3 linked regions of the Bombyx mori genome follow. The protein of the gene in region 1 binds, or shares a complex with, the protein of each later gene. Links are inferred from orthologs where the notes say so. Each region holds a gene or a part of one and is shown on either strand. Other genes may lie near its edges.

Region 1 (4,391 bases):
AATTGAATTGGCTAAACTCTTTAAATACGCTCCCTATGCACTTTCAATATAATAGAGTTGTAGCCAGAAACATGGCTGTTTCAAAAACCTTATTCGCTTATAGTGATCACATCTTTAAGAATTCAACTGAAATACTGCAGGAGTAGAAAATGTTTAAGTCTGAGTAAAACGGCTAAAATACATTTCGGTACCAAAAACTTCAATATACCATTGTCATACTTAAAAAAATATGTTTTCATATTATATTATCATCATATTCAAATTACTCACAGGTGTTGTATCTTGTACAATTTGTGAAAAATAAATGAACCCAGTATGAGGTAGAGCTGTTGCTTGCGAGAAGCCTGACAGTGTCTTCTTCTGTTGCCCGAGAGGTAACACATTACACGCTGGCATCTTTGATAATTTAGACAATCCACCGGCCACACCAAGGATTTTTGCTGCTGTTGATGCTCCTGAAATACATAGTTTTGATAGAAATTCGCAGGTGGTACAACATATTGTAAGCCCGCATGGGTAGTTTTCATTGTCTTTGGATATTTGTGCCATGAAGCAGTTAAGTTCTGGCTTGGATGGTGTGATGGGTTATAAAATATAACTAAGAGCTTGTGGTGCCATTGTGCTTACTATGGGCTTCGATAACCACTTATCACCAGGATAATTCTGAACTCATTCACACATACCCTTCAATTAGAAAAAGTATTCATTTAATATGCTCACATTCATTTAAGAAATATTCTATTGTAGTTGATTAACAACTACCAATATATCAATATGGTTAAATATTTTGTCGCGAGGGGGATTAGTTAAATTATTTTAATGTCTAGACCATTGGAGGGTGGCTTGTTAAACGTAGAACCCGAGCACTCTCAACAAATTTTTGGATATAGTTTTAGTATAAATAAGGCCATCCAATGATGGACAAGAACAGAGTGCAAACTACCAGACAGGTCAGACCTCCTGAGCATTGTAAAAAGGGAATAAATTGCTACAGAAAAAACATCTCGTTCTAACAACAGATCGTTTCTCTACTTTGCCAAGCAAATGTTATTTTAAAAGGGTTACAATTTAGAGTTCTGATGCACTTACAATCTGCCAGGCTCAAAAAATGCAGAAAGAGGCATTTGGTCCTTCTAATACTCTGCTATTTTGGAAATTATATGATGAGGGGAATAATTGCAGTTGGCTAAGGGTGATTGCACAATTGTTACCACTAATCGTTTTGGGAGTGTTAAATAGAATTTATATTAGTAATTATAGGCAACAGAATGTATCACTTACCAACAATGGCAGTTATGTTTGGTGCAATAAAAGTCATTCTACTTTCAACATACTCATATATTTGCGATTTGAAATTGTTCAGCTCACTTGCCATATCACAGGCCTCATTGATTTCTTCTAGTTCAATTTGGCTTAGTAATTTCCTGTCAAATGATTGAGTTGTTTAATAAGTAACTATTTTACACAAAATGTTCATCAAAATAAATCTTCAAAGTCCCTGTTTTGTACTCTAGTCCACTATAATAATTTAAATGAATTTGAAATGTTGCATTTCTACATTTTTATTTACATTTATTCTTTCTTCTTCCTAGTCGTACAGTCTTAACAGAGTGGTTGTGGTCATGTATCAGTCGAATTCTGCGATACCAATGCTCTCGCGTTGCAATGACATGTGGCACGATGTTTCTCAGAGTGAGTGCATTGATTTATATTAGCAAACAAAATAGACCACAAATAGAAAACAAATAAGAAGCTAACCCTTGAGTTGTAGATGCAGTAACAGAAACAATCATAATAGTGGCCTGAGTAAGAAAACTCTGTAATATTTCATTATTCTTAGCCCTGTCCAAATCATTGCCAAGTTCTTTCACTGTCCTTATGTATTCCAATGGAGTGATGATTAGAGATTCCAATTCAGGAAACCGTTTCTGATATTTGTCACGGACAAATCTGTGAATAATAGCTGAAAATTTGCATTTCTTGACTTTAATATTGTAAGCAGTAATAATTAGACAACCAAGATAATAATTTCATGAAAAGAGAACTATTAACACTACGTTCAATCATAAAAGTTCAATTCTCTGAAACTGTTTTAATAAACAAATCAACACATGAAAAATGGAGATTGGAATGCATACCTATTTCACCATCAATTTCAACAGCAACATTATTTGCTTCCACAATCAGTTGATACTCAGGGTCAGACTCCATTAAGCCAGCAACTTCAACCTTATTTCTGTTATTTCCAGCATTACATTCTATTTCACTCATAACCTAAAAGTTGTTTACATGAAAAATTGTAATTTATATTTAAACTGTTCTTCAAGAAACTTTATTAAATACATACACGTTTCAGACGATCAGAATATCTTAGTTTCGCGAGTTCTCTTATCGAGACATTCTTGATTTCTTCTTCTTTAGGTAAGACGGGATATGGAACTGCAAAGTCGTATTCTTCTTTGGTTTTGCTCTCGATAGCAGCTTCGAGTTCACCATCGTCATTTTCTTCTAAATCAGCAAGTAATTCGTCAGCTAGAGACATGCTTCTGTAGAACTAAATTGATTTTCTGAGTGTTAAGTTTATGTGTGAGCTTGTTCTGTTTCTATTGTATTCTGTAATATTCTACAATTATTACAGTTTTTTACTCAAATCGACTTTCACAGCTATACAGTATATTTCATTTAGTATACATTATAGATATTAATTTGATTTTTTAGTCAGCGATGTCATTAAACTTCAATAGTTTGTACCCAAAACTAAATGATTTACCTACCTATGTACCTACGGCGACTAATATTTGCAATAGTTAATTTGAAAAGTAAACAGAAATGACAGTGACAGTACGGTACTTGACAGTAGTAAGTAGTACCGTACCTACCTAGTATGTAGTAATTCCATTTTTCCAAGTATAAAGACGAAGGTATCATACGATATGTTTATTCATAAATTATAGATTCTCTTTCATGGAAATGATATGAAGCTAAATGAATTTAAGTTGATTAACTGGAGATATTCATTAATAGAGATGAAATTAAATGAAATAAGATGAGATGATATGGGATAAAATATAATCTCAGTAAAATAGTGGTTAGATATTTATTAAGACTTTTCAGTGAACTTTTCAGTAGATCCCGAGAAGCTGCGCCCAGCAGTTTTATTTCATTTTCCCACATTTGTGCATATTCATAAATACTAAATAGTTCATAATTAACCACCGTTATTACACATTTAAACCTAAAGAAATACTAAATAGACAAATTAAAACAATTCACACAACTTCGCTCTTCGCGTTCCCGCCAAAAGGTCTCACAGGACGGTGACTTTTGATTGTTTTTTACAATTTAAAAAATACTGAAAGCTGTAATGAAATAGTCTTGGTTTTTTTTTTAAGAATTGAATCAAATTTATGAAGATTTGGAGAAATCGCAACATAAACAAAAAACTAAGATAAAGCTCATGAGAACCCTTATCTTCTCCATACTCTCGTACGCTTCTGAGACGTGGACCCTCAAGGCCCGTATCCGATTGAAAATTGACGCATTTGAAATGTGATGTTGGCGCAAAATGTTGGTCGTATCATGGACGGAGCGCCGAACAAATGTATCAATTCTCTCGGAGCTAAACGTCAAGACCTGTCTATCTACGATCTGTATGCAGCATCTCCTCAAGTACTTCGGACACGTGACCTGACGAAATCTTGACAAATTGGAAAAAATAATAATTGTAGGTCACGTGGAAGGAAAGAGAGCTCGAGGAAGATTGCCAACCAGATGGACGGACATTGCCAAGGAAGCCACAAACACCAGCGTTCCGGGTGCCATTCAGCAGGCCAAATGCAGGCAGCATTGTAGGAAACTAGTGCAATTAGACCAAGGTGGTCACGACTCATGATCCACAGTAATGAGGAAGCGACGAAGAAGAAGAAATGTACTTTTAATCTGAAGAATTACGTGGATCAAGTTTGACTTATTTTCTAATAACAATTGAAAAATATATTACAGGATTTTCCTAAAAAGTACGTCAGAGCATTAGATTTTAATACTTTTAATCCATAATAGTGGAAACAGCTCAGCTTTAGTAGAAAATAGTAGTGTTGTATGATCTTATACCTCTTAGACACTACATTCAGAATCATTAAAAAAAAATATGTCATAACTGTCAACAAGCAGAATAAATTTTCAAGCCCCTTTTCGTCAGTTCGTCACATCTTGAATTTTTCGGCTGGAATTGGGCTTTTTGTTGGTGGTGTGTAGACGCCTAATATTTAAATAAAGTTAAGTGAACACCTTCCTATTCAATTTTTTAGTATATTCAAAGATATCAATCTTTTACAGTGACAAATAGACACATCTTAATCTAAATGGCGCTCAATCCGCAGTACGATGCAATC
Region 2 (2,811 bases), on another chromosome or scaffold:
TAAGTAAGTGTTCTATTCAAATGTGATAACTCTATCTGTATCAAGTTTCAAGGATCATCATTAAAATATTGCTTTTACACTGTTTTTTTTTACTCTGTTTTTTACCATTTCATTAATGGGTATTGCCATATTATACAATAGTATTATTACTTTAAGCGTTTTTTGTAAATAAATGATTTCAGTATACTTTGATTTTTTTTATATATTGACACGAATTGAATAGTGTGAAAACCAATTAAAGATATAAAACAAAAAAATGTATTTTCTTAAAATATCAAGAAATAATAAAGTTGTATCCCATTTTAGATTTAACAGAGATATGGGTAGCTTAAATATTTTATATTAATGGATTGATGAATTCATAACTACCTGTGCATCTGCAGTTTCCAAATTATTTAGATATTATTGATTTTCAATGAATTCTACATCAGGATTATGACTAATAAATAATCTTGGATTTGGTCAAATATATGGTTGCTTTGCACCAGCATGTATGGAGGAATTTTGAACTTTAAATGAAACAAAACTATTCCTTAGCCAAATAACTTAATTTATTAAAAAACTTATCTTACATTTTATTTTTATTTTTGTTCTGTGGTCGCGGGTTCCCGCCGCCACGGGCTAGTGGAGGTGCTCTGCCGCGGTTACCGAATGCGCCTCGGCTACCACCACGGCCACCGGTCCTCATGTTTTGCCCGCGTCCCTTGGAAACCTCGTTACGACCGCGCGCTTTAACCTGTGTCTCCTCCTTCACCATGTCGATGACCTCGTCCGGTATTCTCAAGTATTTGATCGTACTACCACGTATATAACATTCCGGCATCCTCCAGAACTTGTCGCCGTCTCTCGACGTGCAAATAACTTCACGTAAATTAATGTTCATCCAATTATCGCAGCTTACGAGATGACCATTGTAAGTTTCGCCATTTTTCAATTCGACAAGCATAGGGTGGTTCTGCGCTGTCCGTAACAAAGATAGCGGCAACATTTTGATGTAATGATCAACTTCGTTTTGAAGTTTATTATTTATTTGTATTAGAAGTTTATTTTCCTACTTTCGCGTTGTTTGGTGTATTGTCAACTTCTTGTTTTTTTAGGTTACTTTAGGACTTTAGGTTGACACTGACAGTGCTCAGTTGTCAGAAGACGCACAGATAATACACTTAATATTTGAGAAGAAGTGAAAATTGCTTCAATGGTAATGTAATGAAGTTTGTGAACAAGAATTTACAAGTAGACGAGTCCAACTGGAGAGTTAAGGGACAGTTCTAGTAGTAGTGAATCTTGTGATGATGATGAATAATAATAAAACAATTTACGTTGCACACCATTGTATTAGTAATAAATAATTAGAAATCTCATTCCTGGTTTCAATTTATTCTAAAGGTGAACCCGTCTACAAAAATTGCATTCAATAGGATAAATGATGAAAAAAAAGAACGTATCGAAACTGGTGTTGAAGGGTTTTGTTGCTGAACTTAATAGTTAAATGTAATGTAACTTTTTTTGTTTTAATTTGACCATACAGCTTACTGTCCATGCAACTATCAATTTCTAGTTCCATGAGAATAAATCTATGTTCGATAATCCAAAGTCAATGACTTTAGCATCCTTACTGTGAGCTGTCAAAATTATCATAAATTTTTACTTTTTGGCGGGAACGCGGGGAGTGAAGTTGTGTGATTTGTTTTATTTTGTCTATTTATTGTTTCTTCAGGTTTAACTGTATAATATCTGTGAAAGTGCACAAGTGTGGGAAATTGAAACAAATCCGCTAGACGTAGCTTGTTGGGATCGTCCAAAGAGCCAATTGAAAAGTCTTAGTAAATGTCCACCATTTTACTGAGATTATATTTCATCCTACATCATCTCATCTCATTTCATTTAATTTCATCTCACTTCATTTCATCTTCATTTCATTTCACTCTATATTATCATTTTTCGTAAAAATAAGAATTAAATAAATTAAAATAAGATTTGACCTAAAAGTTTTAGTTACTAGGTCATAAAATCCCTTAGAAAATATCCTAAATTTGAAAAAAAAAACAGAGTTCAATGCCTTTAATTTGTCGGTCAGCTGTCAATTGTCAATCCTGTGAAAAAAAATGTTTTCAATTGTTAGCCGGTCGGTAGAATAATTTTCATATTCACACGAAAATCAATTAAATAGGTAAAAAGATAATAAGTTCAAGCCCTTCAGTGAGAAATTAGGAATAGATTTCTTGTTTTGAGTCTAACGTAAGTTTGAAACTATTTCTGTACAATTATAATATTCCAAGGAGACCTCGTGTTCCAAATTTTAGTTTTTCTCTTTATTAATTAGTTAAGTTTATTAATTCTTGATTTAATTACGGTTAAAAATCGGTTACGGTTTTTGAAAATCAGATTCTTAATCGCTTATTACGATCAATTAGTTTAGTATATTTGATAAATAATACATTACCCAGTACCTACATTTTTTGAGTTTACACTTACACCTGTAAGCGTTACTTTTGTATCTTCAAATCTGGTCATCAGAGCGAGAAAAAGTATAATGGTAAAATACTATGACGTGATATTCAATAAAATAATTAAAATACCCAGAAAAATATTAAAACTGTACTTGCAGTTCAACAGTTGTAAAGATGTTTACTTCATAATAACATTGTCCATAATTAACAGAGTTACTCGTCATGCCCCAAGCACGTCGGAAGACCCCGTTCAGCGGGAAGGCCAAAAAACAACAACTGCAGTCTAAGAAGCAGAACAAGGTTTTACTCATGCCTAGTACGTATTATCACATATTCGTCCTGAATTTATACAAAATTGAAT
Region 3 (2,436 bases), on another chromosome or scaffold:
ATTTGGCTTTGCCGATTAAAAGAAATGCTATTATGCTTATTCTAAAACGGTTATTTATATGCCAGTTACTAGAGCACAAACACATTAAAAAAATTGTGTTGGTAACAGGCTAACTGAGCTGATTGTGATGAGACCCATTAGCAAATGAGAAATAAGGTTCTTTTAGTACCTATGAATATTTTTGATTCCTGTGAATATATTATACAGGGATTTAATGTATTTGAACCTTCATGTGTATTTTGTGAAAGAGTAAAACATATAACCCTTAATTTGGTAGTTTACAATAGGCATCATAAGTAACTTCCTAAGGATTATGTTCAAAGAAATGAACATATATCCAGGGTGTTGTCTATTCTAACAGGTATTACAGGGCATGCTATCACAAATCCTATTCAGAGAATGGAAAACCCAAGCCAGGGCTAAGATTAATTTTTATGGGTGAAAATATGTATTCTGCTTTGCGAATTAGTAAATCAAGACAAGAGACGAATACAAAATATGATATTTATTTGCCCAAATGAAACACCGATTGATAACAAAACATTTATTAACTAGTTCTAATGTACCATTGGTCCAAGTGGTTCTGCCTTGATGTTTCCGAGGTCTAATCTGCTATCAATTGACTCGTCTATTTGCCCGACTATTGCCACATTGTCTCCTCTGATTATGTGAAGTCCAAGTACTACTTGAGCGACGCCACTTGTGGAGGAAAACACTCTTTCGTGAGATTCGTCTAAAATAATATTTATTGTTTGGTCAAAGCCCTTAAGGGTGCCAATAAAATTACGTCCATCCGAAGTTATTACCGACACTGTTTGATTCACGTAATTTTCGAGTCCAGAAGCCATTCTAATTATTTTATTTATAAATTCAAATTAGTAATAATCAACATCAAACAACTATAAGAAATTTTCAAATTTCAGGGAGCTGCCACAGATTATTATTTGAAATGTGTACCTACACAGATTAGTATAATAGCTACTACAATTACTATTACTACCTACATGATTACTACATAATAAATAATAGTTTAAAAAAATAAAAAACACGCTTTATCTAAAATTCAACTAAAAAAATAGAAAATAAATTTTAATAAATTTAAATTGAATATAGTGTAAAATATATTTTATTGTAAAAAAAGCATGGGGTGCATGGTGTTATTAGTTATAAATATTTTTCTGACAGATATGAGTAGAAGAATTATTATTTCAATAATATCTTAAAAAGCACCCCACTCTTTTTTTTAAATAAAATATATTTTACACTATTTTCAATTTAAATTTATTAAAATTTATTTTAATTTTTTAGTTGAATTTTATATAAAGTGTCTTTTTTAGTTTTTTAAACTATTATGTATTTTAAATTTTCTTTAAAAGCGTATTTTTAAAACTATTAAGTACATTAACATCAATTCCTGCCTTATCGAGTATAGATAAAAATTATATAAATTGACCAAAATCTTATTTTATAAATTGAATAATGGAATAATCTTATCAAATTAGTATTTTTTTATCGGTCCTCGATAAATCTACAAAGTTTGAATGAATTCTGGCCGTTTAAAGTGGGTCAAAATCGCGTCTAAAGGAGTCAGTTGCAAACATACATACAAGTGAAGTTAATATAAAGCGTGTAAATTGGGTAGAAAAGATCTGACGGATCATATATTCACAAATTATTATGATACACCAGCAGCCAGGGAACCGGGGTAAATTACCTAAAATGAAATTTTGGGGCGTAAAAATGAAACTTTTGTGAGTAAAAAGTATATATTGAAGTGAAGCTTCTTTAGAATCGTTGTGATTTCAAATTCGATGAAACGAAATTAAACGAAACGAAAAATAAGTCCATAGAGACACAAACACATAAATATATAGGATTCAGCCGGCGAGAGAATGAGATAGAACACATTATTTGGAAACACAAAGTTCACGTGATTGACCCAGGTATTTTATTGTAGGCATCGTGTGAATTATAAAATAACAAGAAATTATCAATTACTTATATTCTCTGTGGGGGTGATTTTTTTTCCTCAACTGTATATTACAGATATTACTATTATTACCGTTATGTATTACTATGTATTACATTGATAAATTGAATAAATGATGCTTAAATTAAATTTTTAGTTTTTTCTTTTGAAAATTATCATCGGGGCTATAATATGAAAGATACTAAAAAGAAGCGATTTCATATTTTTTTTGTTCTTCGCCATGGGGTAATTACCCAACCAACCAACTTAAAAAAATATATTTTGGGGTAATAATTAAAAAAGTTCCCCGACCGCTGTGATACACTGTGCAACATATTACCGAGTAATGCTTCTCTACAATATTGTGGACAACAAGTCACAAGACACAAGCAATAACTTATTTTTCGCAATACTTACTATTAATAGTATGAATATATGGCAAGTGTCGAGTTACGACATTGATAATT

Evidence for each region.
Region 2: U4/U6 small nuclear ribonucleoprotein Prp31 (region 1) and U6 snRNA-associated Sm-like protein LSm4 share a complex: the UniProt entries of both Homo sapiens proteins name them as parts of the U4/U6-U5 tri-snRNP complex. The link is inferred for Bombyx mori from reciprocal best matches to the Homo sapiens genes PRPF31 and LSM4.
Region 3: U4/U6 small nuclear ribonucleoprotein Prp31 (region 1) and U6 snRNA-associated Sm-like protein LSm8 share a complex: the UniProt entries of both Homo sapiens proteins name them as parts of the U4/U6-U5 tri-snRNP complex. The link is inferred for Bombyx mori from reciprocal best matches to the Homo sapiens genes PRPF31 and LSM8.

The regions. Positions count from the first base shown.
Region 1 is NC_085116.1:12,784,382-12,788,772, forward strand, and holds the start of U4/U6 small nuclear ribonucleoprotein Prp31, read right to left. Parts: upstream 2,898-4,391; 5' UTR 2,775-2,897; exon of another isoform or gene 2,555-2,774; 5' UTR 2,543-2,554; coding exon 2,348-2,542; intron 2,275-2,347; coding exon 2,139-2,274; intron 1,964-2,138; coding exon 1,759-1,963; intron 1,425-1,758; coding exon 1,282-1,424; intron 456-1,281; coding exon 271-455; intron 1-270. Other genes in the region: probable nuclear transport factor 2, read left to right, coding at 4,362-4,391. UniProt on the Homo sapiens protein: Involved in pre-mRNA splicing as component of the spliceosome. Required for the assembly of the U4/U5/U6 tri-snRNP complex, one of the building blocks of the spliceosome.
Region 2 is NC_085117.1:3,992,012-3,994,822, reverse strand, and holds U6 snRNA-associated Sm-like protein LSm4, read right to left. Parts: upstream 1,356-2,811; 5' UTR 989-1,355; coding exon 569-988; 3' UTR 530-568; downstream 1-529. Other genes in the region: guanine nucleotide-binding protein-like 1, read left to right, coding at 2,673-2,766. UniProt on the Homo sapiens protein: Plays a role in pre-mRNA splicing as component of the U4/U6-U5 tri-snRNP complex that is involved in spliceosome assembly, and as component of the precatalytic spliceosome (spliceosome B complex).
Region 3 is NC_085112.1:10,370,688-10,373,123, reverse strand, and holds U6 snRNA-associated Sm-like protein LSm8, read right to left. Parts: upstream 958-2,436; 5' UTR 849-957; coding exon 558-848; 3' UTR 530-557; downstream 1-529. UniProt on the Homo sapiens protein: Plays a role in pre-mRNA splicing as component of the U4/U6-U5 tri-snRNP complex that is involved in spliceosome assembly, and as component of the precatalytic spliceosome (spliceosome B complex).